Diceros bicornis minor: one gene and its partners. The protein of the gene in region 1 purifies or fractionates together with the protein of each later gene. This does not show direct contact. Links are inferred from orthologs where the notes say so. Each region holds a gene or a part of one and is shown in the gene's direction. Other genes may lie near its edges.

What was found.
Region 2: the proteins of PPP2CB (region 1) and SLMAP purify together in Homo sapiens (affinity purification with mass spectrometry; 3 studies listed by BioGRID and IntAct, counting the BioPlex papers as one, with this or other methods). This does not show direct contact. The link is inferred for Diceros bicornis minor from reciprocal best matches to the Homo sapiens genes PPP2CB and SLMAP.
Region 3: the proteins of PPP2CB (region 1) and STRN4 purify together in Homo sapiens (affinity purification with mass spectrometry; 4 studies listed by BioGRID and IntAct, counting the BioPlex papers as one, with this or other methods). This does not show direct contact. The link is inferred for Diceros bicornis minor from reciprocal best matches to the Homo sapiens genes PPP2CB and STRN4.
Region 4: the proteins of PPP2CB (region 1) and CTTNBP2NL purify together in Homo sapiens (affinity purification with mass spectrometry; 5 studies listed by BioGRID and IntAct, counting the BioPlex papers as one, with this or other methods). This does not show direct contact. The link is inferred for Diceros bicornis minor from reciprocal best matches to the Homo sapiens genes PPP2CB and CTTNBP2NL.

The regions. Positions count from the first base shown.
Region 1 is NC_080768.1:28,480,238-28,488,166, reverse strand, and holds the start of PPP2CB (serine/threonine-protein phosphatase 2A catalytic subunit beta isoform), read left to right. Parts: upstream 1-4,867; 5' UTR 4,868-5,165; coding exon 5,166-5,267; intron 5,268-7,929.
Region 2 is NC_080741.1:57,749,947-57,757,137, forward strand, and holds the start of SLMAP (sarcolemmal membrane-associated protein), read left to right. Parts: upstream 1-4,126; 5' UTR 4,127-4,418; coding exon 4,419-4,616; intron 4,617-7,191. UniProt on the Homo sapiens protein: Associates with the striatin-interacting phosphatase and kinase (STRIPAK) core complex, forming the extended (SIKE1:SLMAP)STRIPAK complex.
Region 3 is NC_080773.1:22,277,059-22,284,290, reverse strand, and holds the start of STRN4 (striatin-4), read left to right. Parts: upstream 1-4,090; 5' UTR 4,091-4,105; coding exon 4,106-4,387; intron 4,388-7,232. UniProt on the Homo sapiens protein: Calmodulin-binding scaffolding protein which is the center of the striatin-interacting phosphatase and kinase (STRIPAK) complexes.
Region 4 is NC_080743.1:45,208,939-45,217,066, forward strand, and holds the start of CTTNBP2NL (CTTNBP2 N-terminal-like protein), read left to right. Parts: upstream 1-5,088; 5' UTR 5,089-5,223; intron 5,224-8,128. UniProt on the Homo sapiens protein: Regulates lamellipodial actin dynamics in a CTTN-dependent manner. Associates with core striatin-interacting phosphatase and kinase (STRIPAK) complex to form CTTNBP2NL-STRIPAK complexes.

The DNA.
Region 1 (7,929 bases):
GATGTAAGTAACAAAACCCCCAAATGTAGCTAAACAAATATGAGTTTTCTTCTTCACTCCTAAGTCTGGAGTAGGCAAGCAGAGCGGCTATCCTGGTTTCACATTGCCCTTAGGGACCCAAGTTCGTTTTTCTTTCTTTTTAGCCATCCCTAACATGTGGCCTGTAGCCTCTTGCTTTTTTTCTAGTGGCCTCAAAATGGCTGTTCCATCTCCAGCAATGAGTCCCAGGCAGGAGCATTCTGAGTTTACTCCCTTTAACAAGCTTTCCCGTAGAGCCGCACTCAGCTAGTTCTCCTTACGGTGCGTTTGCCAGAATAACACCACACGGCCACTCCTAGGTATTCTTTAAGCAGGGCATTTTTCACTACAAACAGAATTGTTAAGAAAGGTACCGTGGGTACTGGCTAGACTGCTAACAATCCCTGCTCTACCAGTGTTGGCTAGAATGAAAAATATGGCATCAAAACCATAACAAAAGCAAAAATGTACCTTTTAAAAGAAAGAAGATGAAACAAATATTGAGGCTTTCCATAGTGGTGGATCAATCCTAAATACTGAAACTAATCCTTTTAGTCAGACCAGCAGTTTACTTTCATTCTTGCTACTTTCCTCAAATTCACTCACAAATATTTACTGAGCACCTACTCTCTAAAGGGCTTGTCCTACGTTTTTGGTATCACAAATGTAATATACATGGATCGTGCGGTCAAGTAATTTATATTCTAATAAGAAAGAAGAAATTCATATAAACAACATGATCTAGAAAGTATGTGGTATGGAAAAAGGACAGACCCAAAGGTATGAATTTTTAAAGAGAGATGAATTCCTTTTGGTGTCAGTAAGAGAAAGGACTTCATGGAAAAAGATAATCCTGACACTTGTCCTTGATGATAGAGGCAGGTTTATGCATGCATGGAGGAGGAAAAAAAGTACTTCCTGTAGATGTAAAGCATGAATTAAGGCATGGAGCCAAGAAAGTGTGTGGCAAGTGAGAACAGTAACTAATTGAATAGAATAGATTAAAGCCATTGCCAGAAGTTATGATGATGGGGCAATTAAGCGGCTCTCAGAATTGAAGTGACCACAGCTTCTTCTCCAGTAGTTATTTTTGGAAGTATCCCAGGTTTCAGAGGAGGGATGGAAGCTCCACGGTGACAGAGAAATCAACTTCTGAGCTGTGTCAGTCTTGAGAATATTGTAGGCCTCAGCTTTTAAAAGCCCACAGCGGGAGATTACAAAAAATTCTATTACATAGAGGAAAAAGCATCAACATGGCTGTACAAATTTTTAAATATTTAAAACATAGATTTTCACTTTCAGTGTTATAAATGTCCAGGAGCTCTACAGGAACTGCCTGCTCCAAAACAACTAGACCCAGAACAGGACACCTTTTTTTTTTTTTTTTTTTTTTTGAGGCTTCATTGGTCTTACAAATTAGGATAGATCTCCATGGATTTCCCAAAAATAAACGAGCATGAATTTAGCCCAGAATGGGTAGACATGGGCTGGAGTGGAAAGGATCTTGGGCTTGAGCCATCTGAAGATTTGAGAAGAACTAGATGCTTGGGACAGAACAGCTGGAAACTAAGCCCACAGGGCCAAGAGCCATGGCCTGACTAAATCAGCAGGGAGCTCACCTGAACAACACGGCTGCCAGAAGGAATGACATTGCTCTGAGGCTGGATTCCCAAAGACACTGCTACAGGGACACTGAGGTGGGGGAGCTGACACTCCTATTCTGAGCCAAAACTCTTGCTGAAGTGGTGTTGGCTTAGGAATATTTCCTGGATATTTCTGCAGATACAGAAGCAAACTTTCTAGAGGAAAGTCTTCCCAAGGTAGGCCCACAGTACTGTCACAATCCATTCAAGCTGTGAATGCATACACACTAGAAGGCAAGCCACTATGAGTAAGAGTCAGCAGAAACAAGAAAAACATCTTTAGTCACTTAAGAACTGGCAGTGTGGGAATTGTCAGATACACAATATAGAATAGCTAGGTATAAAATGTTTATAAAGGACTCCACTTCCACAGTGGTATGCTAGGGAATTTGAACCAAGCCTCCAACTGAGGTCAACAAAGAAGGACAAAATATTAAACACAGCATCTGTTCTGATTCCTTTATCTTCAAATAATTCCATCTCTTCCTCAATAAATTTGAAGGGAGTTTTTAGAACCAAGTTTTTTGGGTGGTAGAGTGATAAGAGGAGAAAAGAACTGTGGTCTTTTTATTAACAGTGATTTATAGTTTTTAAATTCAAAGAAAGCATTTCCAATTTGACTTTGTCTTTTTAGTCTCATCATTATTGATGGGGATTCTGATGCAGAATTCCCTGTAGCAATTTCAATAATACCGTATTCACATTCCCATTGTCAAAGTTTTTGAACTAGAAATAAAGATATTTATTTAGTCTTTTGAGAATATGGTGGTATAGAAGAATCATTTTTAAACCAATACAACATATAATTTTAAATGTAGCATATAACTCTCTGGATATGTTACAAAATATAAATGATTCATATTTCATACTTTTAAATGGCATAATACCATTTAAATCAAGAAAAATATCAATGTTTATATATTTTAAAAGAACTTAGTCAATTATGTAGGAACAAAATCTAACATGTAATTTTAAGGCAAAGGATCTGCTGAAGTCAACGATTTTAAAATTCTTTGACCAAAAGGAAAGAGGTAAACAAAGTAAAAATGAGAACACTTCTGGTAAACAAAGAACTTTAGAACTGGCCTGCAAACCTAAGATTAAATGCAGTTTTGCATGACATGCTTAGCAAGGATTGGAGATTGATGGTTATGTTCCACAGGAGAAAACACACAACATATTCATACATAATACATACATACATACATGACAGAAGCAAAGAGCAAAGAAAGAAAGAAGTTTAAGAATTATAGTTTTTATTTTTAATTAAGATGGCTTCACAACCGAAATACCAAAAACTGATATTACAATCACCAAGCCCTTTGGCTGGTCTACCAATCTCCAGCTTTCCCTACTCCCGTCAGACTGTAGAGCTCATATAACATAAAACACAGAGTAGAAGTCAGACAAACTTGGGTGTTAATCCTTACTCCACCAGTTACTATCTGTGTGACTTGAGTGTGCTTTTAAACTTCTGTGTGTCTCTTTCTTCATCTGTAAAGTGGAGAGCAATAATGGCACCTGTCTCATAGGATTACTGGAGGATTAAATGAGAAGACAAATGTAAAACGCTTAGCACATAGGAAGCACTCAAAAAAGCATCCCGGGGCCCACCCCGTGGCCAAGTGGTTAAAGTTCTGCGTGCTCCCCTTTGGCGGGCCTGGGTTTGCAGGTTCGGATCCCAGGCGCAGACCTACTGCACTCATCAGCCATGCTGCGGAGGCATCCCACATACAAAATTGGCACAGATGTTAGCTCAGGGCTAATCTTCCTCAAGCAAAAAAAAAGAGGAAGATTGCCAAAGGATGTTAGCTCAGGGCAAATCTTCCTCACCAAAAAAAAAAAAAAAAAGCATCTTTATTTGCTCTACAGTGTAAGTTGACTAAGCTTTTCAGAAGCACTATTTTCACAAGCTTGCCTACCTATCTTCCACTCTAAGAACATCCGCTCTTGTTATTCCGAACACATTTGCTTTTATTTCAAGGACCTCCCTCCCTAACCACTATAACATAGAGTTCCCATTTCTCCTCAAGGTATATTTTCTGTTCTCAGTCCATCTTCTCTAGGAACTCTGAAAACGCCCTTCTCATTCTCATTTTCATTCTGAGCTTTCCAGGGTTAGCTGAAATCCAGCCCCCTTTAAACCTTTATAGACTAACCTCAGAGACTGCAATGTCTATTGCAATTATACAGGTGCCCCTTCTCTTCAGTGTTGTTTCGTTACCTCTTCATGTTTTCTTCTTCAATTGGTTAGCTACTATTTACAAGTCCGTTGAGAGCAGGAGCTCTTCCAGCCTTATTTCCCTATTTCTGTTGATAGGAATATGTATAGCTTTCCAAACGGACCGTGATCACACATTTGTCCTCTGCCTCACACACAAAAAAAATTCCTTGGAACTTCTTTCCTCTTCTCCAGGCAACTTCAAAGTTTTGCCTTGGGGAAAGGTTCAAAATTCAGTTCAAATGGCACCTTTCTAAAGCTTTCTGTAACTGTGGCTTAGGAGGGATAAGGCAACTAACACATTGCTCCCGTACTGTACTTACTGGGTGGGTACTTGTAAAATTTAATCTTCACAACATGAAAAGGTAAGCCTTACTGAGCCCTGTTAGACGGAGAAGCTGAGGCTTGGAGAAATTCGGTGATTGCCCAAGGACACAGCTAAGAAGTTGGCACAACACAGCTTCATATTATACAGAACAATCATTTCATCTTTCTGATGCTGAAAGCGGGGATTCGAGATGTTAGGGCCCCACAGCTAGCTAGTAGCAGAGATAAGGCTAGAAAGAATTCATTGATTCACTCAATAAATATTGAATGCTTGCTATGGGAAAGGGCTAGACTCCGGCGAGACAATGTTGTCGAGGAAAGGCACAAGCTTCCTAATTCCCTCTCCAGAGCGCTGAAAAAGCACTGCAGAAGACTAAGGTGGGGGCGAAGTTCCCAGAGAAAAGGATGTGAGGAAAGAACCAGGAGAGCTTGGTCCGGACCCGAAGCGGGAACCGGGCATAGAGAAGGGAAGGGGGAGAAAGCGGGGCGACCCTCGGCTCGTTTCTCCGCCGAGCCACACGGGGGCGCTGCAGCCCTGCTCGCATCCCGCTCCCTGGCGGCGCCGCCTGCTCCCCTTTTCCCGGCGGAAATGCCCGGGCGATGACGGAAACCCGGAGGGAGGGAAGAGAAAGAGCGAGAGCGAAGGGGTGAGAGAGCCGGGAGTGGCCGGCGGGTGGCCATCGTCCGGCGGGAGCTGCGCCGAAGCCCCGCGCCGCGCTGCCCCCCACCGCCCCGCGTCCTTCAGCGACTCGCGGGGCGCGCGGCCGGCCGGGGGGCTCCTCGGGGCCGCGCTCCCGGCGCCGCCCGCTGCCTTAGGCGGGGCGTGGGGCCCGCGGCCGCGCGCCCCGGCTCCTTCCTCTCCCGCCGGGAGCTGGCGGCGGCGGCCGGAGCGGCGAGCGGGAGCGGGAGCGGGAGCGGGGAGCGGCGCCGGGGCGGGGGGAGGGCCGCGGGCCGCCATGGACGACAAGGCGTTCACCAAGGAGCTGGACCAGTGGGTCGAGCAGCTGAACGAGTGTAAACAGCTCAACGAGAACCAAGTGCGGACCCTGTGCGAGAAGGTAGGAGAGGAAGGAGGGCTGCGCGGGGGCGGCCGCCCTGCCCCGGGCCCGTGCTCCCGGCGGCGGCGGTGGCCGTTCCGGGGCCCGGGGCGCTGCGCTCACGTTACTGGCCCAGGGGTCCGCTGTGGGTGGCCGGGGGAGACCTGGCACCCGCGCGTGAGCTCGAATGGGGTCACCGACGCTCTTCTGGGGGTTCCTGACCCTCCAGGTCAGCGTGGACTAGCGAGCGCGGCCCTGTGGAATGCGGCCACTTAGTCTGATGCGACCTCCTGTCTGAAAATGCACCGAAAATTAACCTGGATGTTGCTCATATTAACGAACCTGTTCATAAACGTAGGATTTTTTTCAGGTGAATCGGGCCCTTCAAAAATCGCGACCTTGGAATGCGTCAGGCATTTGTTTGTGGAGAGGTGGGTGTGATGGCAGGCTGTGGTTTTTAAAATAGAGGTTGACTTTGGTTGAAACAGATGGTAACTGGTCTTCGCGTTGAGTGGCTCTTGGAAGCAAAATGTTGATTTTCAGAAATAAAACAGCAAGTCTAAAGTTTGGCAACAGTGCTTGCTTGAAATGATAAATGGGGTATGTATTTTTCGTGCAGAGCAGCACTTTTTAGAAAGTCTTTTCCATCTTTATTACATGTAAAGCTTTCTTTTCCGAAGAAAAAGGAGTTTTTATTTGTTTTAGTTGTTTACAGTCGTTCTTGGTTGTATGATCTTAAACAACATTCTGAATTCTGTATCGACTGTTCTTAACCACTGGAATTATTTCAGACGGTCTATCTTATTTACGTTAAAGTCTAGAGTTTTTCTCATTCATCTTTTATAATCTGGACTAAATAATTTTCATACATTTATATGTTAAAAGACCTCATTTGAAGTCCAGGAAGGAGTAACGAGTTTAATCTTTAATGCTGTTGGGTTTGTTTGTATTTTTAAGCCATAATCTATAAAACTTTCTTGATCATAGTGTTCGGAAGTCAGGATGCCCCAGAAATGTTGTTAGTATTATTAATAGGGCACTCTTAAAATAAAGCATCTTAGGGTTGGAGGAGTAATAGCTAATATTAAGTTAAAATAGTGTTTTTAACAAGTAAATGTCGCCTAGGGCCTTTGTATATTAAATAACTATTTGTTAACACAGGAAAATTTATTTCTGTAAATAGAATTGCTGAACAACTGGTATTTTTCTGAAAAAACTGTTTGCTTATAGCTTCAAGTAGACATTCAGTTTCCTTGAGTCATAACCTATAATTTCATGTCTTAAAATTTACGTTTTAAATCTCTCTCTCTCAAGCTCCAGTGTCGAGTGAAATATCCAGTTTTGACATTAGCTGAGTCAGTTAACCTCACTATGAACATAGACATGCACTTCACCAAGTTAATGGACACAGTCAGTAGCTGAGTCAGCTTTTCCCTTTGACGCTCTAATCATTTGGAGATGTATTTCTAGAGAGGAATGTTGTACCACTACTCAGTCACACTTGAGTCTTAATCACTTGAGGAAGCTTTCTGTGTTTGTCGAGAGTATTTTTTACTTCAGCTCCTAAATAATTGAACTACCAATCCCTAGGACTTTATAGGTATGTTTAAGCTTATGTCTTACCCACTTTTTTCTTTGAATATTTGTACTTATCCACTAAACATGAGTTTTTACGTGAAAATCCACAATCATTTATCTTTCTCCTCCACCCCTTTGATGGAGTTGCTGGTGGGTGGAGAAGTGTGATAGGATTCCTTGCTCTCTACCTTTTTAAGCAGTGCTTGGTTTTGCAGCCCTCTTCTAGCAACTGTGGCGTCCCTTTGTGGTATATATGTTCTGTCTTCTAACCTTAGGCTCTAGTTCCATTTTACGTCCCTACCCTGATCCTCCATGTTCCTGAGGAGTGTCCTGTTTGCTTGCAGTGAGCTCTGGTGGTCAGCCCATCTGAGTTCACACCCTGGCCCTGCAGCTCGGCAGCTGCCAGTCTCCCTGCACCTCTGATTCCTCATCTGTAAGACAGAGGTGATAAAATTTCCTGATCTTCTGTGTTGGTTGTGAGTATTAAGATACCACCCCTGTTAAGTCCTGACAAGAAATAAGCACGCAATGAATATTAAATGAAGAAAAGCTAAATAAAAATAGCTATTTCATTTTGTTTTAAATCTGTCCCCTCATTTTCTTTTGCAAAAAGATGCAAAGAAATAGATGTGATGATGTGACTTCTCTGTGGAGAATGTACTTTAAAAAAAGATTTTATATGTAGTGGCTCTAGAATTGTTAAAAATACAGTTTCACTCACTATTTCTTGTGATCCTTGTTACCTGAAGCACAAAGTACTGGGATTAGTAGCAATTTTGTGAAGTAACCTTACCATCACTTGGTCTACTTGATACCTGCTCTACCCTTCCAGGTCAAGAATGGCAGGCGCGTAGAAAGAATATAAGAGAAAAGTGAAAAGTCAAACCTGATTATGTAGATCACCTTATTGTTTAATTCTTTGTGACTAGGTTTTAGTTCTTTTTTTTTTAATAACATGATTTTTTGGAGTCTGTCGGAAATACTACTCTATAGAAAGTTACATTATATGGTGGTGATTTTTCCCTCAAAATTAAATTCCTATTTTAACTCAGATTGCCTAAAAACTAAAGGAGTCAGCTGAAATTAAGATCAAAGTGGTACTGGT
Region 2 (7,191 bases), on another chromosome or scaffold:
TTTCTCAAAACATGACATGTTTTTTGTTTAATTAAAATACTGTATGGATACAGAATCATCGAGAGGAACACCCACATGGCTTAGAATTCAAAATATCTCATGTATGAGATTTCTTAATTTAAGCCTTTTCTATGCCTGCCGAATACCAGTGGGTGAAGAACGCCTTCAATGCCATTTTGGCATTTCCACACCCTGTGTAGCTTGGTAGGATTGTTTACTCTTCCAGGTTATAGCAATCCCAGCTTTTCTTGGAGAAAAAAAGCCTATTCTGTTTAACATTAGTTTTAAGAGAGATTGTAGTAGAACTGAACGTAAAGAGACACTTCTTGTTTCCATATTTGTGAACAAGTTTGTCCATATACAAATTAGGGATAATACAACTTGCTCCTTACTGTATGTGGAAGGCTGGGGGAATTCTTACTATTAGTAATAATAATAAAAACTAACATTCTCTGAATATCTACTATTTTCTAGACATCATGGTAGGCACTTTGTCTTGCGTTATCTTATTTAACCCTAACAAGACTCTGTGAAGTATTGTCTACTTTTTTCAAATGAAGAAACTGAGACTTAGAGAAGCTAAATAATTTACCATTCACAGTGCTGGTAAATGGTGATGCAACGTCTGATTCTGAAACCTTGATTTTCATTACTCTACTTTAACCTTGTAGGAGAAAGATGGAAATGTTCTGAAGTTTATTGCATTGCCTATGAATCCTCCAGCAATTGAAATCATACTTCTGTGCCCCTCTCCTTGAACACCCCCACTTCCACTTATACTGCAATAATACAGACCTGCTTGTAATTCCCTTAAGGTCCTGTTCTCTCAAGTTTCTGGGTCTTTGTTTATAATATTTTCTTGGCCTAAAATTTTGTTATCCAACTACTACCAGACTAGCTTGCCTACTCCTACTCATTTTTCAAGTCTCAGTTTAAACTACTCTACCATGCTCCCATTACTCTTTGTTTTTCCTGAGGAAAGTTCGCCCTGAGCTAACATCCACTGCCAATTTTCCTCTTTTTGTACGTGAGCCGTGCCACAGCATGGCCACTGACAGACAAGGGGTGTAGGTCCGTGCCCAAGAACTGAGGCTGCTGAAGCGGAGTGCACCGAACTTAACCATTGGGGCTGGGCCCCATTACTCTTGATATACTCATTATGGCAGGGATCTTATTGTGTCATCACCTAAACTATGAGCAATTCAAAGGAATCTTTTTTTTTCATTGTTGTATTTCCAGGGCCTTTCAAAGTATCTGTTTCCCAGTAGATATTCAATTAAATATTTATAGAATGAATGAATGAAGGAATGCATAAGTCACTTATAAATTCATGCACAGAACTCATCAGGGATTTGTGGAGGGACCTATATTACTTTATTCCACATAAGCCTAAAAGTTACCAAAAATGAAAACTCTTCATCTTTATATGAAAACTTTTGAACATATCCTTATTTTTCTCCAGAATAAAGTAACTGGACACAGTAGTCGTTCAATACATATTTGCTGAATTAGTGAAGAGTCTTAGAAAAGTATATGAAGGCTTTATAATCGAATGCATATTCTTGTCTCCAGATTCACTTTGTGCCACTCCTGCTTTATCCTGTAATAATGAATAACAATATGTAATTTTTATTGAGGTATCAAATATTTATTGAGTCACTATTATATGCCAGGCACATTGGTCCACTGTTTCAATAGCCTTGTTCCTTTGCTTCCTAGTCCCTCTTTCTGGAAATTTATGAAGGCACTCAGTAAATACCATATTTATTGTGGTTTTCCTACCTTCATTCATTCAGTTCAGTTACTTCCCCTAGAAGGCTGTCCCTGACCCCTTTAGGATCCAGTGCTTGCCTCCATCTTAGCCCTGATTACATCAAAGTGAAGTTATTTGTATCCATGTTTGTCACCTCTCTCCCCAAATTCCTATCCAATAATACCTCAATGAGCCCTTAGAGGGCAGGGACTGAGGTTTTGTTCACCCCTAGGACTCAGCACAGATTTTAGGACAGGGCCAAAAGCCTATGAATAAGCATTGAAATGAACAATAGTTACTCTTCATTGAGCAACATGGATTATCGTCTTGAATTCTCACAAGAACAGGTGAGTTATGTATTATCTGCATGCTATAGATGAGAAAACGAGGCTTGAAAAGGTTTAGAAACTTGCCCAAGGTCACACAGTGGTGGAGCCTGTTGTCAAAGGAATCTGAAGAATGAAGCCACCATTGACTCTAAATGAATGACTCCTTCCCACCATCTTTTCTTGAAATTTTCTTTCAGATTTTGCAGTCTTCCCTTCTTTAGACCAATGACTCCTCATCTACCTTAATATCATGAGTGGGGGGCCACACCCCCTTTTTTTCATATTGTAAATTGATGACATCTCTCTAGAAGCAACGTGACTTTAAACTTTTAAGTCATACTCTTTCTGGGGTAGAATCTGTGTTTGGAGCCCTGAGGGACATGACAGTTCCAGTGAGAAAAGCGGTCATTCGAAATAGAATGCGGGGACTAAGAAAGAGTTTTTCTCCGGGTAGGATACACAGGGAAGACTTTAGCAGGAAGAGGACGGACTTTGTCATCTTAGATGCACAAATCCTGAGACTTGTGGGAATTTGGTTGTTCACACCTAAGGCGGCTGTGGGGGACTGTGTTGCCCACAGCTAAGATGGCTGCTAATGAACATTTGCTTTGGATGGATCTGTTCTCTTTGCTCGCTGCCATTTTCAACAAGAACGATAGTGAATAAAATTTAGTAAAAGTTGGTGCCTTCTTACCAAGATGGTAAAGTAGGAAGTTGGCACGTTTTGTTTAGAAAACCTTCAACAGGTCAAATTTTTTCTTGCCCTTAACCAAAAGGGCCGAAAAGGTTGTCCCATGGTTTGAAGCTTTCAGCCCTTAACTAAGATGGCGCCCGGAGAATCGTTGAAAATTATCTTGCCCTCTTTTCTGCCCTCGACCGTCATGGCTTCCGCGGCGTCGATCACGTGACTTCCCCGGACTACGGCGCGGGAGAGGGGGTAGGAGGGCCCTTGAAGGGTGCGCGTTCCCGTGGCGGTGCACCCGGTAGGTTTCAGTCAGAGTCACTATGGCGGCCGGCGCTGGCAAGGTAAGCTGAGGCGGCGGCGGCGGCAAGGGAGGCTGGACCCGTCGTGGTGTCCGGGCTCCAAATTCCCGCAGCCTCTCTGCGGAGAGGTCGGCCGAGGTCGTGGCCCGTGGCGGGGGCTGGCGGGGGGCGGTTGAGGGGGATGAGGGCTGAGGCGGGCGGGCACCGGCGCCTGACGGCCGTTTGTTTTGATGTTTCCCCCACCAGGTCGGAAAGTTTCTTGCTTCGTCGGGCACAGCCTGAGCGTGTCCCAGCGGCCGCGAGTGGTGGAGGCTGCGGCGGACCCAGCCCGGGGCCTCCAGGCCTCTCCCCCAACCTCCGGGCCGGCCTCCCTCCCCCACCTCCTCGTCCGCCGGGAGCTGCGGCTGCCGTCCCTGAGATGCGACCCTCGCGGGGGCGACCCTGAGGGGAGGCGGCCGGTGTGCTGAGCAGCAGCCAGGAGCCCAGGCGTCCAGGGACCAACTTCTTGCGGGCGGAGACCACCGAGCCTCCCCGGGGTCGCGCCTCGCTCGGTCCGCACCGGCCTGCGGAGCCGGATCCCCGCCCTGGTCGCGGGGACGCCCGCCAGGTGTCGGGGAGTCCCGACTCGGCCTCTGCCCGCGCTCCCGCCAGTCCCCGCTCCTCGCGCCAAGGACCCAGCCACCGCCGCCTCGGCTCGTGCGGGGCCAGGGACCCGTGCCACCTCCCGGGCGGCCTCCGCGCAGCAGGGGCCATGCAGACTGTCCCGCTGGCCGTCTAGACCCCCTCGCGTCTGTCTCTCCCCTCTCGAGGCCCTCGAGGACGGGCAGTGGCTGCCCAGAGGTGCTCGGCTACACCTTCTTTCAGCGCGAAAGGACCTTGCTGGCCGCACCGAACCGACCCTTCCTTCATGCTGCAGTGCTGCAACATTTCCGCCACCGAGGGGGAAAGGCGGCCGCGATCCCAAACAAAACACAAGAATTGGTGTGTGACTCATCTGCTTGGATACCTCCAATCTCCAAACTGTCTTCCAGGAGTTTTCTTGGCCGAAGCTGTCCGATGTTTGAGTCTTTTCATCCCAGGGAAGAAGATGGACTGAAAGCTGCCAGTTGGGGACTTTTTGTGATCAGGGCGCTGCTGGGTTTTAAAGGAGGTAATGGGGCTTTCGCTGGCTTGTCTTCCCACTCAAGTGAAGAAGAGTTGTTGATGTTCGCTGGTTATGCTTAGACAATGCACAGTTTGTTTTAATTTAAAATTTTGGGGGGGATAGGGGTATAGGCTTGTGAAGGGCAGTCCGGATCCGGTGGAACTCCTCTTTGTCCCTTGATAGGAGAGACACCCCCAGTCTGTCCTCGATGCCGTCAGCCTTGGCCATCTTCACTTGCCGCCCGAACTCGCACCCGTTTCAGGAGCGTCATGTCTACCTGGACGAGCCCATTAAAATCGGCCGCTCCGTGGCCCGCTGTCGACCAGCGCAGAATAATGCTACCTTTGATTGCAAAGTGCTGTCAAGGAACCATGCTCTCGTCTGGTTTGATCACAAGACGGGCAAGGTAATGTCACCACATTGTCTAACAGTCTTTATTTTTCCTATGCCTTTGCCGTTTTTGCATAATGTATTCGGGATCCCAGGGTTTGCACGCGCAGGAGACTTTCAGCAAGGCCACGGAATCAAGTTTTTGTGTCTGGTTCTAGTGGAAATTTAATTGAGGTGGTTGAATGGAAAACAGAGAGGTATTGTAATTAAACGCCTCAGGAGGGTGATGGCATCTTGATAACGTGGTCATTCCCAGTGAAATCCCAAACCCTAGGGTGATGGCATCTTGATAATGTGGTCATTCCCAGTGAAATCCCAAACCCTAATTCGTTTCGGAAAACTAGATAGTGAAACTTGGCTTCTTGCTTTCAGTCTTTTTAGAAAGGTGAATTTGCAGTTCAGTGCTTGATTAAGCAAGGAGCAATTCCCAAAGCAATGCAGGGAATCCGTGGCCAGTATTACACTGGGGCTCAAGTGTCTCAGTGGTGAGAGGTAGTTAACACATAGCTTTTAGTTGAGTTCAGATCAGGGCCTTTCTAGTAAGGACAGTCCTTTGTGTAAATTGTGTGGGAGTAATTTGCAGTTATCAAAGCCAATTTAATTAAGCATGAACAACTGTTAACTTGACATTTTCAGAGTTCTGTTTGCATATTGGGTTAACGTATACCTATTGCTTTTGAAAATCAGTTTTTGATGTTCCCCGCAGCATTTACTAAAAACACTTAATGCATACTTACAGAGGTGATATTTAGGAAATCAATTTATTTTCTGAAATTATATCCAATTCTATCAATTATTACAGTACCTAGATGTGATAGGATGAATTTAGTGCTCTTCCATTTTAGCATTTTTATGTTGGCACCCTATTTTGCTATACATGTGAGTGCTTATATTTTATGAATACAAGAAAAAAAATACAGACAGATCCTTTCAATTTTTAAAACTCTTTATGTGTTTGGAGAATATACTAAAGAGCTTATTTTTGTGCTTAAACCTCAGGTTTTAGTTGAGCTACTGAATCAGTTCTAACTTAGAGTAAGTTATATAAGACTAATAAAAATATCTCTGGTTTCACCTCCTGACTTTTTGCTCCCTCTTTCTGAGTTAAATGATTAAATCTTTTTTAAAAAGAGAATTTAAGTCAAGAGTAGTGCTTTGAAATGAAAGAAACCTGAGCCTCAAAAGGAAGAGAGAAAGCAATACTTCTTTTGCTACTGAATTAAGGAATTATTATATAAATTATTTTTCGAAGAAAGGACGAAAAGATTGCCCAAGTGCTGTGTGCTTGCATAATACCAAACCCTACTCCGTGTGTGGGATGAGAACAGAAAAGTATGTTATTTTTTCGGTGTAACACCAGATGATCATTTACCTGGGAACACACCCTTTTTTTCCCCCTGGAAACTAAAGTTTGGGTACCTGAAAGACTTCATAGATTACCCATAATCATTTAAAGTGAATATTCATAGAACTCATCTTTCCAGAAATGAAATTCAAACATCAGTTAACTGCTAGTGCGTTAACTCAACCAGCTTTTACATATTTGTCTCTTTATGTGCCTGGTCCAACTTAATCAGAAAACAGGTTTGCTTAAAGTACATACTCTGCAAATGCACATTCTTTGCTTTGATTCAGTACTCAAAGGAGACTCAGATTTTTTCTTTTACTTATTTGAAAAATAATGATTACATGAACAGTGCTTTTCATGGCTATTCTAAAACCCCCACAATAGGTTATTTTGAGATGAGAGAATAGGTCAATAATGAGTGTTTATTGTAGAAATTGAGATGACGTGTTAAAATTTTGAATGGAATTTGTTATTAGAAAAACTTATCTTTAAAGGATACACAGCTTATTTCTACCATTTTCACTTTTTTCCCCTGCTTTATTAGCTAAACCACATTCAGAATATGAGGCCATTACTTTAGGCGTAGCTATAATTATTGATTATTGTACCACTTAATCTAGTTAAAACAAATACCCTATCAGATTGTGCCATGTGATCAAATTGTCTTAGGAATTAACTATTTAAAATTTAGGTTTGAACAGACAGTAGATTTTTATTGAGCATTTATTGTGTGTCAGATATCGTGAGGTATGCAGTTCCAAAGAAAACCCACAGTTTGACCAAATATCTTTAATTGTTTTCTCTGTGTGAAATTTTCAGTTTGAGAATTTCTGCTATAATTGTCTCATAACAAAAGTCCCCAGGCCTAATATATATTCCCAGCAAATTCCTTTATACAACACAAGAATCCCCTCCTTCTATAAGCATTACTTCACGCAAGTTTTTTTTTAAACATCTCTAAGCCTCAGTTTTCTCTTCTGGGAATAATGATGGTACCTACTATTGTTTTGAGAATTGAGGTAATTATGTAAATCATTTAGCACCCTTATTAAGGGCTCAGTACTTAGGGAGGAGGGTGTTTGGGTTGAGGGGAAGAGGGAACCATCTCGACAGGTCTTTGCAATATAGTATAGTAGTGCTGTGGAGTCTTAGGAAGGTAATGGGAAATTTTTTTCTTTTATGTGATGGCGTATATAGAAGTAATGTTTTTTTGTTCTTTTGTTTTTTTTTTGTGAGGAAGATC
Region 3 (7,232 bases), on another chromosome or scaffold:
CCCCTCCCTCAGCCTGGGTCCACCCACAGCCCCACTCAGCCTCCTCCTGGTCTCCTGACCAAGTCCCCTCCTCATGGCAGCCAGAGGAGTCTTCACAAAGCACAAATCTGACCTCTCCCCCCTGCTCAGAACCTGCCATGGCTCCCCAGTGCCCTGGGGAGAAACTTTAAGTATCTTACAACATCCCACAAGGCCTTGTGTGACCTGGCCCTGACCCGCCCATCATCCCAGCCCCATCTCCCGCCATGGCTCCTCAAACTCTATGCCTAAGCCACCTCGGACTTCTCCTCCAACACGTCTTATTTCTAAGTCTTTGTACATTTTGTTCCTTCTGCCTAGCAGAGTCTCCTCTTGAACATCCCGTCTCCCCATTCCTCTTTTCTCCTGGAAAGCTCCTACTCATGCTTCAGGCTTCAGCTCAGATGGCCCCTCCTCCAGGAAGTCCTCCCTGAACCCCTGGCTGGGTCAGAAGTCCCCTCTGGGCTCTCGCAGCCCCTGGGGTCCCCCCGTTCCGGGCCTGCCTATTCTGGTTCAGCACCATCTGGGGATGGGTCTGTCTGCTCCACTAGACTGTGAGACCTGGGAGGGTACAGCCAGGGCCATTCGATCACCGCTGTGTTCCTAGCACACGGCTGGGCACTGAAAATGCACTTGGCAAAAAACTGATGGCGAGGGTCAGGGTTTCTGTGTGTCTGTAAAGCCCACTCAGGTCCCTGGAGCCACACTCCGCACTGTGGCCATGGGCCTGGGGCCCTGCCCTGGCCTTCCTGCCTCCTCTCTCTCCCACCCTCTTCACCCATCCCAGTCCCACATGCCCTTCTCTGCCCCAGCTCGGCTGGTACTTAAGAACCTGAGTTGTAGGGGCCGGCCCCGTGGCTTAGCGGTTAAGTGCGCGCGCTCCGCTGCTGGCGGCCCGGGTTCGGATCCCGGGCGCGCACCGATGCACCGCTTCTCCGGCCATGCTGTGGCGGCGTCCCATATAAAGTGGAGGAAGATGGGCATGGATGTTAGCCCAGGGCCAGTCTTCCTCAGCAAAAAGAGGAGGATTGGCAGATGTTAGCTCAGGGCTGATGTTACACACACACACACAAAAGAATCTGAGTTGCACCTTGAGAGCGACTTCTTAATCCTCAGAACCTTGGAATTGCCTTCTGGCCCTTAGACTGATCCCTCCTTCCTTCAGTCCTTCAATGTCTATTTGTGGAGCTCCTACAACACGCCAGCACTGTTCTAGGCCCTGGGGACACAGCGGTGGACACACAACACACAGAGACAGACAACACCCCTGACCTCACGGAACTCACATTATTACGGGGGGAGGGGCCTTTGGAACCACAGAGTCTTCGAGGTCTTAAAAATCTCAGAATCTTAGAGCTTAGGTACACAGAAGCACAGAAGAGAGCCTTAGATAGTTTTAGAATTTTCTAAAGATTCTAAAGTGACCATCTTCTTGCTCTACTCTCATCCCCTATAATCTGTTCCCCACTCAGCACCAGAGGGATCTGGTTAAAACTCGAATTAGATCTTGTTCTGCATCTGCTCAAATCCTTTTGTGGCTCACAACTCACTCCGAGGAAAACCCAAAGTCTTCACGGTGGCCCATAAAGCCCCGCATGATCCCCCGTCTTCTCTCACTCGTTCACTCAGCTCCAGCCACACACACCGGCCACCAAACGCATCATTTGTGTGGAATGAAGGAGGGACTCCCGTTGCTCAGATGGGGAACCTGTGGCTCAGAGGCAGAAAGGAGGCAGGTGGCAGAAGCCGGGTCTCCACTTCCAGGCCCTGGCTCTTGCTGTGCTCTGTCTGGCTGACTCCGGGCCAGGAGGTGCCCAGCAGGACAAAGGACAGAAACCAGGTCCTTGGAGAGCAGCGGGTATGAGAGCCAGATGAGGAGGGGAGCGGACCAGAGAAGAGAGAGCAAGGAATCATCTAGTACCCCGACAAGGTCCGTCTCAGCTTCCCCAACTGTAAGGGCTCAAAACCTCTTCACTGGGGCAAAGTGGATGAAACGATGATTTTGAAGGTCCGAACGTTCGACATCTTTCTGAATCATGATAGGATGATAACAATATCAACAATGCTAGCCACTCATGACGTGCCAGACTCAGTTCTAAGCACTTTACACTATTAACTTGTTGCATCTTCATGTTACGATCACATTTAAAGATGAGGAAACTGAGGCACAGAGAGGTGAAGTCACTCGCTCAGGGTCACACAGCTGGGAAGAAGACCCAAGAAGCTGCTTCCAAAGTGGTGCTTTCAACCAATAAACTGCTGTCTCTGTTGGGTCCACTCAGACAGTCCAATTCTCGGTCCATCTTCAGTGAGCTTTCCCCCGCCCTAACCGGACAGGGGCTTTCAAAGCTGAAGATGGCACATTAAATAATTCATTCAACTCATTCACTCAACAAACAGATGTTTATTGAGTGCCCTCTGAGCCGGACCCTGTGATGAAGGAGGCAGTCATGGGGCAGGCCCTCCAGGGGTAGGAAGACAGACAGAACCACACAAACAACTTACAGATAGGGCAGGAAACCAGCAGGGGGCGTGACAGAGAAAAGGTGGTAAGTTAAGGGCAGTTAAGCTATGTCTCTCCACTCCCCCCAAAACAATCTAAGTGGATCCAGATTCACTTCAGGCCTGGGTTCACCTGGCCTGAGCCTCAGTTATTGCATCTGTAGAATGGGTATGTGATGGGCAGAGAAAATAAGCGACATGTGGGAAAGCCTTTGGGGACAAGGAAAGGGCAGTTTCCATGTGACTGCTGGTGACACTGGGGGACTTCTTACCTCCTAGGTTGCAGGCTGGGGGAGCTCCAGGCAGGTGGTTCCAGCCCAGCTCAGCTGCACTGCTGAGGGAAGGAGAACCAGAAAACCTCAAATCAGCCAATTTTGCACAATAGAGCACAATTTCATCTTATCTACAAAAGTGGCAGTGAGAAGGTCAGGGAATCATTTCTTTTGAAGTCGCACAAGCTTGGGCACCACCTGGAGCATCTTAGGAGTGGGAGGGAAGGATGTTAGTTATCATAGCAACCTCTAAGCATCCCTCTCATGAATGTGTCCAGAAAGGTAGGGCTGGAAGTGACAGAAGGTGTTACCATGACAACTCCTCCCCTAGACACACTCCATGCTGAGAGACAATCATAAAACATCCCGTACCTTAGTGGGCCTAGTTCCAAGGGTCACAGGAAGGGGGACTGCCCCCGTTACCATAGTAACCAGGGCTTGGCCTTGCCTGCTTCTCACGTCTCTGGGGATGGGCCAGGCTCTGTAACCATAGCAACTACTGCTCAGCAGAGCATCTTCTCTAAATAAAAACACCTGTTGGGTTTGGTCCATGGACCTCCCACGATGGGGAAGGGGGGAGATGGTTACCATGGTAATGCCAACTGAGTAGCTGGGGGGAGGGGTTAGGAAAGAAGTGTTTCCCTCAGCCATCAGTGTCCTTGGGGCTGGGGCCCTTTTTACCTGAGTGCTAGGTGAGGTTGTCATAGTAACCAATGAGGGTAGGGGAAGAAGGACCACAAGGGACTTAGGTTACCTTAGCAACCTCCTCCTGGTGCAGGTACAGGAAAGGTTTGGGACTCCATAACCACAAAGGTGGAGGGGAAGGGAGGGGAGGCTGGGGTGTTCCGAGCTGGGGAAAGGTTACCATGACAACCGCCCCTGGCCAGGAATGAGAGAGGATGGTGGTCGCCCTTTCTCTCAAAGAGTGACAGACATTGACTGTCGATGAGAGTGGGATTTGGGTCTGGAGAGGGTTTGAATCTTTCTTTGGGGTGAAGAGGGAGAAGGGGGGCACATAGCGACCCCTCCCCTAGTCCCGCTCTTCCCAGGGGCGACCCCCGCGCGGCGCCTGGGTCGCGTTTGCCCCCCTCGGGGCGCGCGCCCCCTTCCCGCCCCCCGCGCGCGCACGCGCGCCGTCGGGGTCGACCCGGGTGGGCGAGGCGCGCGCCGGGCCTCGTTCCCGTCTCCGCCCCCACCCCCCCAGCCCCGGCGAGCGCGCGCGGAGGGCCGGGGGGCGGGGGGGGGGGGGAGGTTGGCGCGGCCGCGCAGGCGCGCGAGGCACGGCGGGCGCGCGGGCCGGCCCCGGGGCCTCCATGATGGAGGAGCGAGCGGCCGCCGCGGTCGCCGCCGCCGCCTCCTCCTGCCGCCCGCTCGGCTCCGCCGCAGGCCCCGGCCCGACGGGCGCGGCCCCGGCCCCTGCCCCGTCCCCCGGGCCCGGCCCGGCCGCTAAGGGAGGCGGCGGCGGAGGCAGCCCCGGGCCCACGGCGGGGCCGGAGCCCCTGAGCCTGCCCGGGATCCTGCACTTTATCCAGCACGAGTGGGCGCGCTTCGAAGCGGAGAAGGCCCGCTGGGAGGCCGAGCGCGCCGAGCTGCAGGTGAGCGCCGCCCCGGGACCCCCGGCCCCCCGCCCGGCCCGGCCCGGCCCGGCCCGGCCTCACCCGCCGCCGCCGCCGCCGCCATCTTGGAGCAATGGCCGCCGGGACGGCCGGGGGGGCGGGGGGCCGCGGCGGCCCGAGAGGAGTGAGGGGCCGGCCCAGGGGGGTCCCGGGGGCCCCGGGCGGCTCGCGGCCGAGGGGACCCCGGGGCGGGAGGGGCCGGCCGGGTCCGGCGAGAGAAGGCCGGGGGACCGGAGCCGGTTGGAGTGGGAGTGGGCTGGCCGGTCGGGGGGTGCCGGGGCGGGGTCCCCCCAGGGCAGCCCCAGAGAACTCAGCCCAGAGTGATGGAGGAGTTGGGGGCTGATGGAGGAGTTAGGGAGCGAAAGCTCAGAGGGTGCGGGGTTCTCCCAGCCCCGGCCCACCAGGTGCGCTTGGAGGTGGAGCCTGATGGGCTCCAGGTGGGAGAGACGGGGCGTCGGGGACCCGCCGGGTCCGGGGTGGGGGAACCGGCCTGAGTCGGGAGAGGAAGTCGGGGAGCCTGGGAGGGGGTGTGTTTCTGAGCGTCTGGAGACGGGAACTGAAAGACGGCTGTGGGAGGACTCGGGAGGAGCAGAGGCTCTCGAGGAGTCCCGGGATGGAGGTGTGTGCCTTCCTCTCCGAGGAGGGAGCTTTGGGGAGCCCTGGCATGTGTGCGTACCGAGGGCAGGGAAGGGTCCCTGCGGTGGAAGCACGGACGGGGCCAGGACTTGCCCTGGGAGCCTGTGTGGGAGAGCTTGAGAGCCGAAACTCCAGTTTGGGGGTGTGGAAGAGTGGGGGCTGCAGCCCCGAGATGGAGGAGTGTGTAGATGTCAGGTGGGGCTCTGAACTGGAGTGAGAGGGGTCAGGCTTGTCCACCGTGGGATGGGGACACTGAGGAGGAATCCGGGGGCCCCTGGAGGATGGCAGGGGGAGCGTGTTGCAGAGCAGGAAGGCAGCGTGAGGAAGCATGTCAGAACGACCTTGGGGGGCGGGGGGGGTGGTGGTGGGGGGGGTGGGAAGGACGTGTTTGTGGAAGTTTCCGGGAAAGGACCTCATGATTTGTGGAGTAGCTTGGGAGAGGGATGTGCGCTGGGATGATGTTTGGAAGAGCCTGAAGAGCTGGGCTGGGTTTTGTGACCTTGAGAAGTGTGGGTCCCTTTGCAGAGAGTGTCCCAAAGAGCCTGGACATCAGCGTTCTGAGAGTTTGAAGGGGTCCAGGGACGGGCTGCCAGGAGTCGGAGCGTTCCTGGGCTGGTGTGTTATTAGCAGAAGTCAGCACTTGCTTCTAGCAGCCCATCTTTCCCTTTCTGATTTGAGGTTTCCTATCTGGTTGAGTTGGGGACTCAAATAAATAACTGATTAGAATTTTGTGAATAGGATGAATAAAGACAGCATTCCACAGTTCTCCCAGCCCCACTAAGGATCTTAGCCGTCTGGCCAGCTGAGGGTTGGGGTGGGAGAGGAATCCTTATGTAAGTGCTCCTCGCCTTTGCATCCCGCTCTACTTCCGGAGCTCTTTCCCAGGGTACAGCTCATTAGATCTTCTCAATACCCCTTTATGTGGGCAGCACGAGTGCCATTGCCCTCTCAGCAAAAATGCCAGCAGCTGCTGTTTATTGAGCTCATGTTATGTGCCAGGGCCTGGACTGAGTTTTTTAGATACATGGTATCATTTAATCCTTGGAACATTCTGGAAAGGTGAGTGATATTACCGCCCCCCCCCCCCCCGGCCCACATTTTAAAAAAATAATCGGAAGAAGAGATGGAGGCTTTGAGAGGGTCAGTGATTTGCCTAGGATCACAGCCCATGGGTGGCAGGGCTAGTCTGAGGGCTTTCAAGCTCATGCTCTATAGCTCTCTGCCGCCCAGTTCAGATGAGCAAACTGCTCCCAGGAAGCTCGGCAGCCTCCCCAGGGTCATCCACGCAGTCGTAGCAGACCCGGGAGTGAACCCGAGGCTCTGGGACTTCACGCCGGTGCACCCTACAGCACCCACCACACCACCTTCTCATCTTTGAGACTGATGAGAGAAAAGGTGTGTGTTATTCCCTCCCTTAGTGGCCCTTCTGGGAGTCTGAGTGGAACTCGTGGATGGCACCCAGAAGGCTCTTCCTTTTCTAGGCTCCACATCATCACTGTCTCTGTACTTTTGTTTTCTTTTGTTCTGTGACATTAGTGAACATTCAGAGGTCTCAGAAATGTGTGTGTATGTAAGTATACATATATGTGTGTGTGTGTCTGTGTGTAAAAGGAAGTCCCCCTCCGTCCCTTTCTTCCTCTTCTCTCCAGCTCTCCTCTCCAACTTCATTGCTATAAAAGTATAAAAGTAGTGCAGCTTTGTTGTGTAACGTATGAGATCATATTATATGTATCGTTTTGTGACTTTTTCACATACTTGTGGGTCTTGGTGTCCTTTTCACGTCAGCACAGAGAGCTCTTCCTCTTTTTTTTTTTGGTGAGGAAGATTGTTGCTGGGCTAACATCCGTGCCCATCTTGCTCTATTTTGTATGTGGGACGCCACCACAGCATGGCTTGATGAACGGTGTGTAGGTCTGCCCCCGGGATCCGAACCCACGAACCTGGTCTGCAGAAGCGGAGTGGGCGAACTTAACCACTACGCCACAGGGCTGGCCCCTCTCTCTCATTTTTGATGACTGTGTTCCACTGGATGTTTGTACCATAGCTCATTTAGTTGGACCCCTGTTCATGGACTTTTAGGTAGTTTCCAGTTTTCCTCTGTCAGAAACGGCTGCCTTGAGTATCCTTACGTTCCGTGTGAGGATACGGCAGAACAGATGGGTGGAATAGTGGACGAGGTGTGTTTATG
Region 4 (8,128 bases), on another chromosome or scaffold:
TCAGGTTATGGGCATAACTAAAACACAGATACTTTGATTGTTTTATGGTTCATCCTCCGTACCATACCATACGCTCTGTTTCTTCTCAGTTTGGAATCCTGATGGAGTCAACAACTTCATCCTACATTAACATTTAAAGGGTTTTTGTATTCCAGGGCTGTCTCTAGAATTGTGGCCCATGAATCCTTTTACTGGAAATAAAATCAATCTACATGTTATTCTTCCCTCATAGTGGTATTTTACAAATCATAGTGACATTATTTTAGAAAACGCAAAAATTTAGGGGAATGATAGACAGATAGATGATATAGACAGATATACATATTTCAATGAAATCATGTTGTAATTTCATTTAAACTAAATAAAGCAACTGACAAATATACTTGAAATGGTTCATACTTCTGGTAATTTTCTCATGTTAAAAGACTTTTTTTTATTTTAATGAAAAAAATTAATGCAAAAACTATTAATCATTTTCATTAACATACGTTCCAGTAGCTTAACTAATGTAGTTCTTCTGGTTTGGTCTTGCCTCAGATGAGAATACTTGAAAGAGTGTAAACAGATACACAGGTAGACAGACCTGTTTTTAATAACGTTGTGCTAAATGTCCTCATTTTGGGGGAAAGGTGTTTGAATGTTTGTGGGCATGAGGCCACTTCCTCCTTTTCTTCAATATAGATATAAATCTTGTTGGCAACATATAGGAGAAACAATGAGAGAAACAGATGTACACACAGAGAGAGAGAAAGAGACAGACATTCACACACACCCACTGAGATACGCCAGAGATGCCTGAGTCTTAAAACAGAGCTAAACAAAACAAAAAGCTGATACCCATCATGGTGTCCCAGAAAGTGGATTAGACTGGATCTTAAAAAGACATGAGTGTGAGACCTAGTTTTACTATTTAACTATAATCTTCAGTAATTCACTTAACAACTGTGGCCTCAATTTTCATCTATAAAATGAGAGTGCTGAATCAGATTATTTCTGAGGTCCCTTCCAGCTTTATGAATCACATTTTAGCGGAGGTTTTTCCACTACACAATTCCTAAGGCTGATAAAATGAGAAGATCAGATGTAAACAGTGGTTACCAAGCAGTGGTTACTAAGGAAGCCTCTGTAATCAAATTACCAAGGTTCAAATCCCATTTCTGCCATATACTAGATGTGAGACCTTGAGCAAGTTATTTAGCCTCTGTGCCTGTTTTCCCATCTGTAAAATGGGGATGATGACGATGAATTCATTGGTGCTGATTATACATCAATCCCCATCACCTAAGGTTGTTGTGAGGACTGAATTAATGCATGTCAAGTACTTAGAACACTACCTGGAACATATTAATGTTTAGCTCAATAAATGTTTATCTTTTTATTATTACTATTATTGCTTGAATTCTTAGAAAACTATGTTATAAAACTCTGAGGTAGTGGTAATTAAGGTTGATAAGCTCAATTATATCATCATTAATTTCTGTACTAAGCATAAATCCAGAAAATCTGTTATCCTAGAATCTGCTTTGAGTAGAGCACTGTGTATTTGAATAGAGTACTGAAAGTATTTTCAATGTTGACCTTAAAGAGTATTAGCTTTATTACAGAACTGGTTTCTTAAGGCTTACTTCAAAGTCTATATTGACAGTACTGGATAAACAAGCATCTCGATCCCTTAGCACTGTTGTAATTTCTTTGTAAGTGTACTATTCATATTATATTTCAGGATCCTGAAATTGATAATCTCTAAAAGTGTTTCAAAACCATTCTGTTTTATATAATGCTACGTATAGTATGGCTGGAAAAAGCAGACTGATAAGACAAAGCAAGGCATTCTGAAAAATGTGTTATAGCAGTCTTGTGGTAAGGGGAAGGCTAGATCTAGTTGCTCTGATGGTCTTTAAAAGTAGTAAATGATTAGCATGTCGTATTAGTTTGCTAGGACTGCCATAACAAAGTACCACAGACCGGGTGGCTTAAACGACAGAAATTTATTTTCTCACAGTCCTGGAGGCTGGAAGTCCAAAATCAACCTGTCAGCAGAACTGGTTTCCTCTGAGGCCTCTCTTGGGCTTGTAGATGGCTGTCTTCTCCGTCTGTCTTCACATGGTCTTTCCCTGTCCCGTGTTTGTGTCCAGATTTCCTCTTCTTGTAAGGATACCAGTTATATTAGATTAGATCCCACCCTAATGACCTCATTTTAACTTAATTACCTCTTTAAAGACCTCATCTCCAAATGCAGTCACATTCTGAGGTCCTGGGGATTAGGACTTCAACATATGAAATGCGGGGGGGACATAAATCAGCCCATAACACATTATAATACATAGACACATAAAAGTCCAAATAGTCCCGTAATACCTGTTAACTTCAACTGAAAGAAGATCGATTTGACATTTGTAGTAAAGCTTACATTGCTTAGTATTGTAGAATTCAGTAAAAGGAGATTTTACACCTTGGTTTTAGAAACTTTGTAAATAATAATAGCAAAAACACCTCGCTTTAGTAAATGTACAGAAGATCTGCTTTCTTGATCAGAAAATTATTTTCTGTTAGTTTTTTGACGTATTTTTCTTCCCTAGCCTAATCCTAAAATGCCACAAGTGGAATGAGAGGTATAGTTTGGAATGTTGTCACTCTCTTACCCCCAAATGCATAAATAACCCTTCTGAAAAACCAGAAGTGCCAGAGGGTGGGGAAACTTACATCTTTTGAGATAGTCAAGGTAATGTGTCAACACCTTCCACCCCTAAATAGGAGGTTGCTTTGGATACATTTTTAAAAATAGCAGTGCATTTTTGTCCATATTTAGATTTAGTATTTATAAATGTGACATGTTTATTTTTTTTTTAATTTCATATATACTAAGTTTTTAAGGAAGTACGTTATCTAGTGGAAAGCTGTCAAAAAACACCCATTTTGTATGTCAGTGTTGACTCTGAATTTTGAGAATTAATTGGCCTCCTGTATTTTGGTTTTGTTTATATGTATGTGAAAGAGTCTACATAATTGGAGCAGACTTGCTTTATATCTTTGCCATATCTTATCACTAATACTAAAAACTTACTGAATGGCCTGAATCTCAGTCAATTGTAGCCCAAGTATAAATTTCTTAAATTTGATGTCTGAGTATGTAATAAAGAAGTGATTTTTATCCAGTTTTGCAAGAGTGATCTCCTGGGTAAAACAACTGATTTGTTTTTTATTCTAGCCAAGTTGATTTAAAAAAAAAATGTAGTTTTTTTGAGGTGTTTCTATGTCCAGAAATATCCAAGACTCATCTAGAAATGTTGTTTTCCCTCTTCCATGCCCCATATCACCCACCACTTAGAAATAAAGCCTTCAGTTCCACATAAAGACATACGCACACCCAGATACTAGATAGACAAACATCTTACTTATACTCCACCCTGCCCTGCCCTACTGCTTACATAGCTATAGAAGCTGTTTGGGGTGTTTCTTTTTCTGCCACCCAATCTCTATGTGTTAAAAAACAACAACAATGCCTGCTATCCTATAGAATTAATTCAGAGTTCTAAAGCAAAAGCTGGGACTTCCTCAAGAAGGAAAAAGCACAACCACAACCAGAATGAGTGGAGCTTAGGTATTATCCAGAGAAGGGAAAAGGTCAGAATAAAATGAACAGAGCCCAGGCCACAGCAGCATACTTCCATGGCAAAATCAGCACTGCCCTTTAGGAGGCTGGGAGGGTGGGAAGGAGGGTGCCCTTCTTAATAGCCATAACTCTTGTGACCGTTGGCACGTGAAAGTTCATATAGAAGAGACTTCTGCCCTCCTGGCTATTGGCCCTGACTTGGTGGGAAGTAGATTGTGAATAGACCAAATGGTATGCTGGGCAAACTCATGTTTGAAATCAGTTACTGATGACTTAAAAACAAGTTTCCTACTTAGCCCATAAATAGCCTTATTTTTCCAGGGTATTAAAATATCTATAACTTTATCTTTTTTATTATATGTATTTTTTAATTGAGAAAACTATAAAGCTTAATATAGCTACAGCTGGCTGTACCACAGGGTATGATAATGTATCCAGACAACTTGTCCACAAATGGTTTTCATTTCAAATTTATAGACTGTAGCATTCCTTAGACAGAAACATCTGCCTCTAAACTCTAAGGAAAGTTGGGTCTTAGAGAGATTCTAATGGAAGGAATGAGCTGAGCATCTGGTTGAAATGATCTTGTCTTTCAAAGTTACTTACTAGATGATGACAATGACAAGTAACAGCTCATTTACAAAATAAGTAGAGAATGACTCTGTAGACTACAACCTGGCATGCCAAAAATCTAGCAGTCATATTTCTGATAATGAATATGGAGTTAGATACAGCCTTTTTCTGAAAATATTGGGCCACATGATTTATATGTTGGGCAGAAAGTAGAGTCCAATAGACTTGGTGCCTTAAAATACGAGACAAAAATTATGTTTTATCAAATAAAATTTAAAGCCTATAATTTTTTTAAAAGTTTGCTGGGTCTAATACACTCTTATGAAAACATAAAAAAATTTGTATATAATTCAACATTTAATATTTTAAAATAAATGGGAAAAAGTAGAAGCTGGGATGAATGATCACCCTTACAGACAAAGTTGAGATGGTGACAGGTTGTCTTTTTGTTTATTGATTGGCAGGAGGTGAGCAGATGAGAATTCTCCTTACGCGAATTTGGCAGTTTAAAAAGTTCAGTTGTAATTATGTTATTTTTCTATCTGAGTGCCTTGTGCATACGTCATGGTGATTCAAGCAAATAGGCTTTTGTCAATACGGGGAGAGAAAGTCAGTCTCTTCTAGTGACATTCATAAGTTAGTCCTTGAAATGACAGTGGACATCTTAAAGTAAAAAAGATTTTGAAAGTTCTCACTTTTCCTAATTATAATTGCAAAAGGGAAGTCAGATTCCTGGTGTTTTTCCTGTATTGCTTAGCCTCAATTTGAAGAAGTGGCTATTTTCTTCTTTCTTGTCTGTATCAACCTACAGCTGTCAGGCCTCATCACCTGTAATGACGGTTGACATTCGTGGGATTTACAAAATTGTTTGTAGTGTGGTCACACAGACAATAAATTTCTTATTATTTTGCAGCATTGGACACTTTTCCACCATGCTGACGGCATTTTAAATATATTCGTCAATTTTCTCAAATTGTAACTGAAGAAAACCTTAAGAATTTATACTTGAGGACTGAAGTGTGACTGCCAATAATCAGGTCAGTATCACCCCCATCCCCACCCCCACCCCCACCCCAGGAATATCACTGCCATCTTAAAACATAATGCAGTTTTACTATCTTTCATTTATATTTCTGACAAAAATTTATTGCAATGTTTTGTGTATTGAGATTAGATACAAATGTAAAAAACTGCTAAATTTTAATATTTATAAAGAAAAGTTATGGGAATATGGGAAAACAGACCTGTTGGTTTTTTAATTATACAGCTGTGGCCCTTTATTTCCTCCTGTGTCATATTTGTATTGTATTCACTTCATGTAGACAGTAAGCTAAATGAGTTGGTACATATTAGCAGAATGTTCCAGGTATTAAAATTGGTGTACAGAAGTGATTTACAAATGTAAAGATAACAAGAATATTGTTGTTTATGCCATTGACAAAGAATAGAATTTTTCCTGCCTAGGCTGGACTGCTTTATAATTAAAGTAACTATGCAGATTGTTTCAATTTTACTTCAATTTTTATGAGGATGTATATTTATCACAACAGATCAAAGACTGATTTAGGTACAGTCTGTTTTAGTTCTTTGTGTATTTACCTCTTACTCTTATTTAACAGGATTCTCTAACAAATAATTCTTGATTTTTACCATAATTCTTGATTTTTACCCATGAAAGCTTAGAATGGAACCAAGAAGGACCTTAGAGATTATCTAGTCTGTCTTATTTTACCTGTGAGGAAACTCAGTGCCAGAGTAACTGGGTAATTTTTTTCTTCAAGGCCATATAGCTGTTTAGTGGCAGAGCTGAGATTAAAATTCTGCACTCCTCACTCCCAGTTTTCCTCATATCATACTGCTTCTTTAAGCCACAGCTTTGGATCTCTAAATAAGAATATTTAAGGACTATGAAGATATTGAAGGAAAAAAGAGTAATATGTGTGAACACTATCATTTTTAGTTCTATTCCTACCTTCCTACCTTGGTGCTTGTCCATCCAGTTGATTTACTCAGTGCAGTGGGTATTTATGGAGCCTCCTTACCAAGTCCCCATTATTTCCGTTAACATCATAGGAGGAGAGAGGAAGGGCATAAAATGATAGGATTTTTCCTCTGCCTTATAATCTCTCAGAGAGAGATTAAAACATGAAACCATCAGGAAGAGGGAGAAGGGTTTCATCTAAGAAACCAGTGTGACTCAACTGGTAGTTTAAATCCTTCACCGTTCTTCACTCCAGGATGCTATCACCCTTCTTCATTTGTGGTTCCCAACTACAAAAGGGCAGCTGAAGCTATTTCTGAGGTCATTGATCTTGGCTGCCCCCAGATTTGGGAATGCCTTTCTTAGAATTCTTTTGGAAGAAGAGAAGATAGTAGTTATTAATGATTAAACCATTGTTCAGCTTATATCAGGAACTTGGCAAGATGTTTTCCACTTATTAACTCAGTCTTCACAGCAACCTAATGAGTTAGATGTCGTCATCCCCCTTTCACAGATAAGAAAACTTGTCCAAAGTCACACAACTAGGAAGATGCAGACCTGGCATCTATCTGACTGCAAAGCCACGTGCTCTCTCCAGCATACCATCTTATATTAAGTATAGCTTTTCTGGGTTTGTTGTTTTTTTAGTTCTTATTTTTAAAATAACTGTTGTGAAATGTCTCTCTGATACTGAAGTGAGAATCACTTATTAGTTGCTAAAACTTACTAGGTAGAAAGTTAGCAGTTAGAGGTGAAGTTACATTGAACATATTTTACCATGGGGCAAAAGATTGGTACAGCATGTCCTGGAACACAGTCTAACGTCCTCTCCTTCATTTAAAGGCAGTAGCTCTGGAAGGAGTCAATGACTCTTTTGTGTGCCTCCTAAAATTTAATGTGCTTCTAGGAGTCAGGAATTACTGGAGGGTGTGTGAACTAGTTATGTTGTGATTCACCTTAAAGAAAACTATGAAAGTGGCTGGGGCCGGCCCGGTGGTGCAAGCCGTTAAGTACGCGCGCTCCGCTGCGGCAGCCCGGGATTCACCGGTTCGGATCCCAGGTGCGCACTGACGCGCTGCTTGTCAAGCCATGCTGTGGAGGCGTCCTATATAAAGTAGAGGAAGATGGGCACGGATATTAGCTCAGGGCCAGTCTTCCCCAGAAAAAAGAGGAGGATTGGCATCAGATGTTAGCTCAGGGCTGATCTTCCTCACAAAAAAAAAAGAAAACTAAAAGTGACAATTTGGAAGTAAAAAGTGGGAGAGGGAAAATAGTATTTGCTCTACTTTGGAAGTTATAAAATGTATCTTACTATACACAGTGGTCAGGAGACTCTTAAAGATTGTGTAGCAGTCTAACTTTTATGTATAGTTGCTGAGACATTAATCTTGTGGAAAGGACTGAACTTGTGCCATGCAATTTGCCATTTAACATATTTCAAAAGATGCAAGACTTCATAGAGATGTGAACTTGTTAAGTCAAATAAATTCAGTCTGTAGTAGCCTGGCCAAATAAGCTGTTTAAACAATATATTTTAAGCAGTCATTTAAAAGTGTATTTGTATATATTTGCATTTAAGTCTTATTTTACTATATGGAATATAAATATTGTGATAGATGTTCTCTGTGAAAGTAGACAATTTAAAAGAAGAATTTCACCTATACTCCTACCAAACATTATCTTTGCTCAAATTTTATTTCAGCCAATTTCAGAGGGATGCCAGAATGTTTTATATACAGTTTTGGAATTTGGTTATCTAAAACTTGGAAATCTTTTCATGGTCTAACAATTTTTCAGTGGAATAGTATTCATTGTAATACAATTTTACCTGAACTTCTAGTGAACAAAATTAATGACTAATTCTTTCTGAGACCTTCTAGGATGTTTGTAAATATGCCTAGAGGAAAAATGATGAAAAATTGATCTTGTGAGTGGTGATGAAATCAATAAAGTCAATTTTA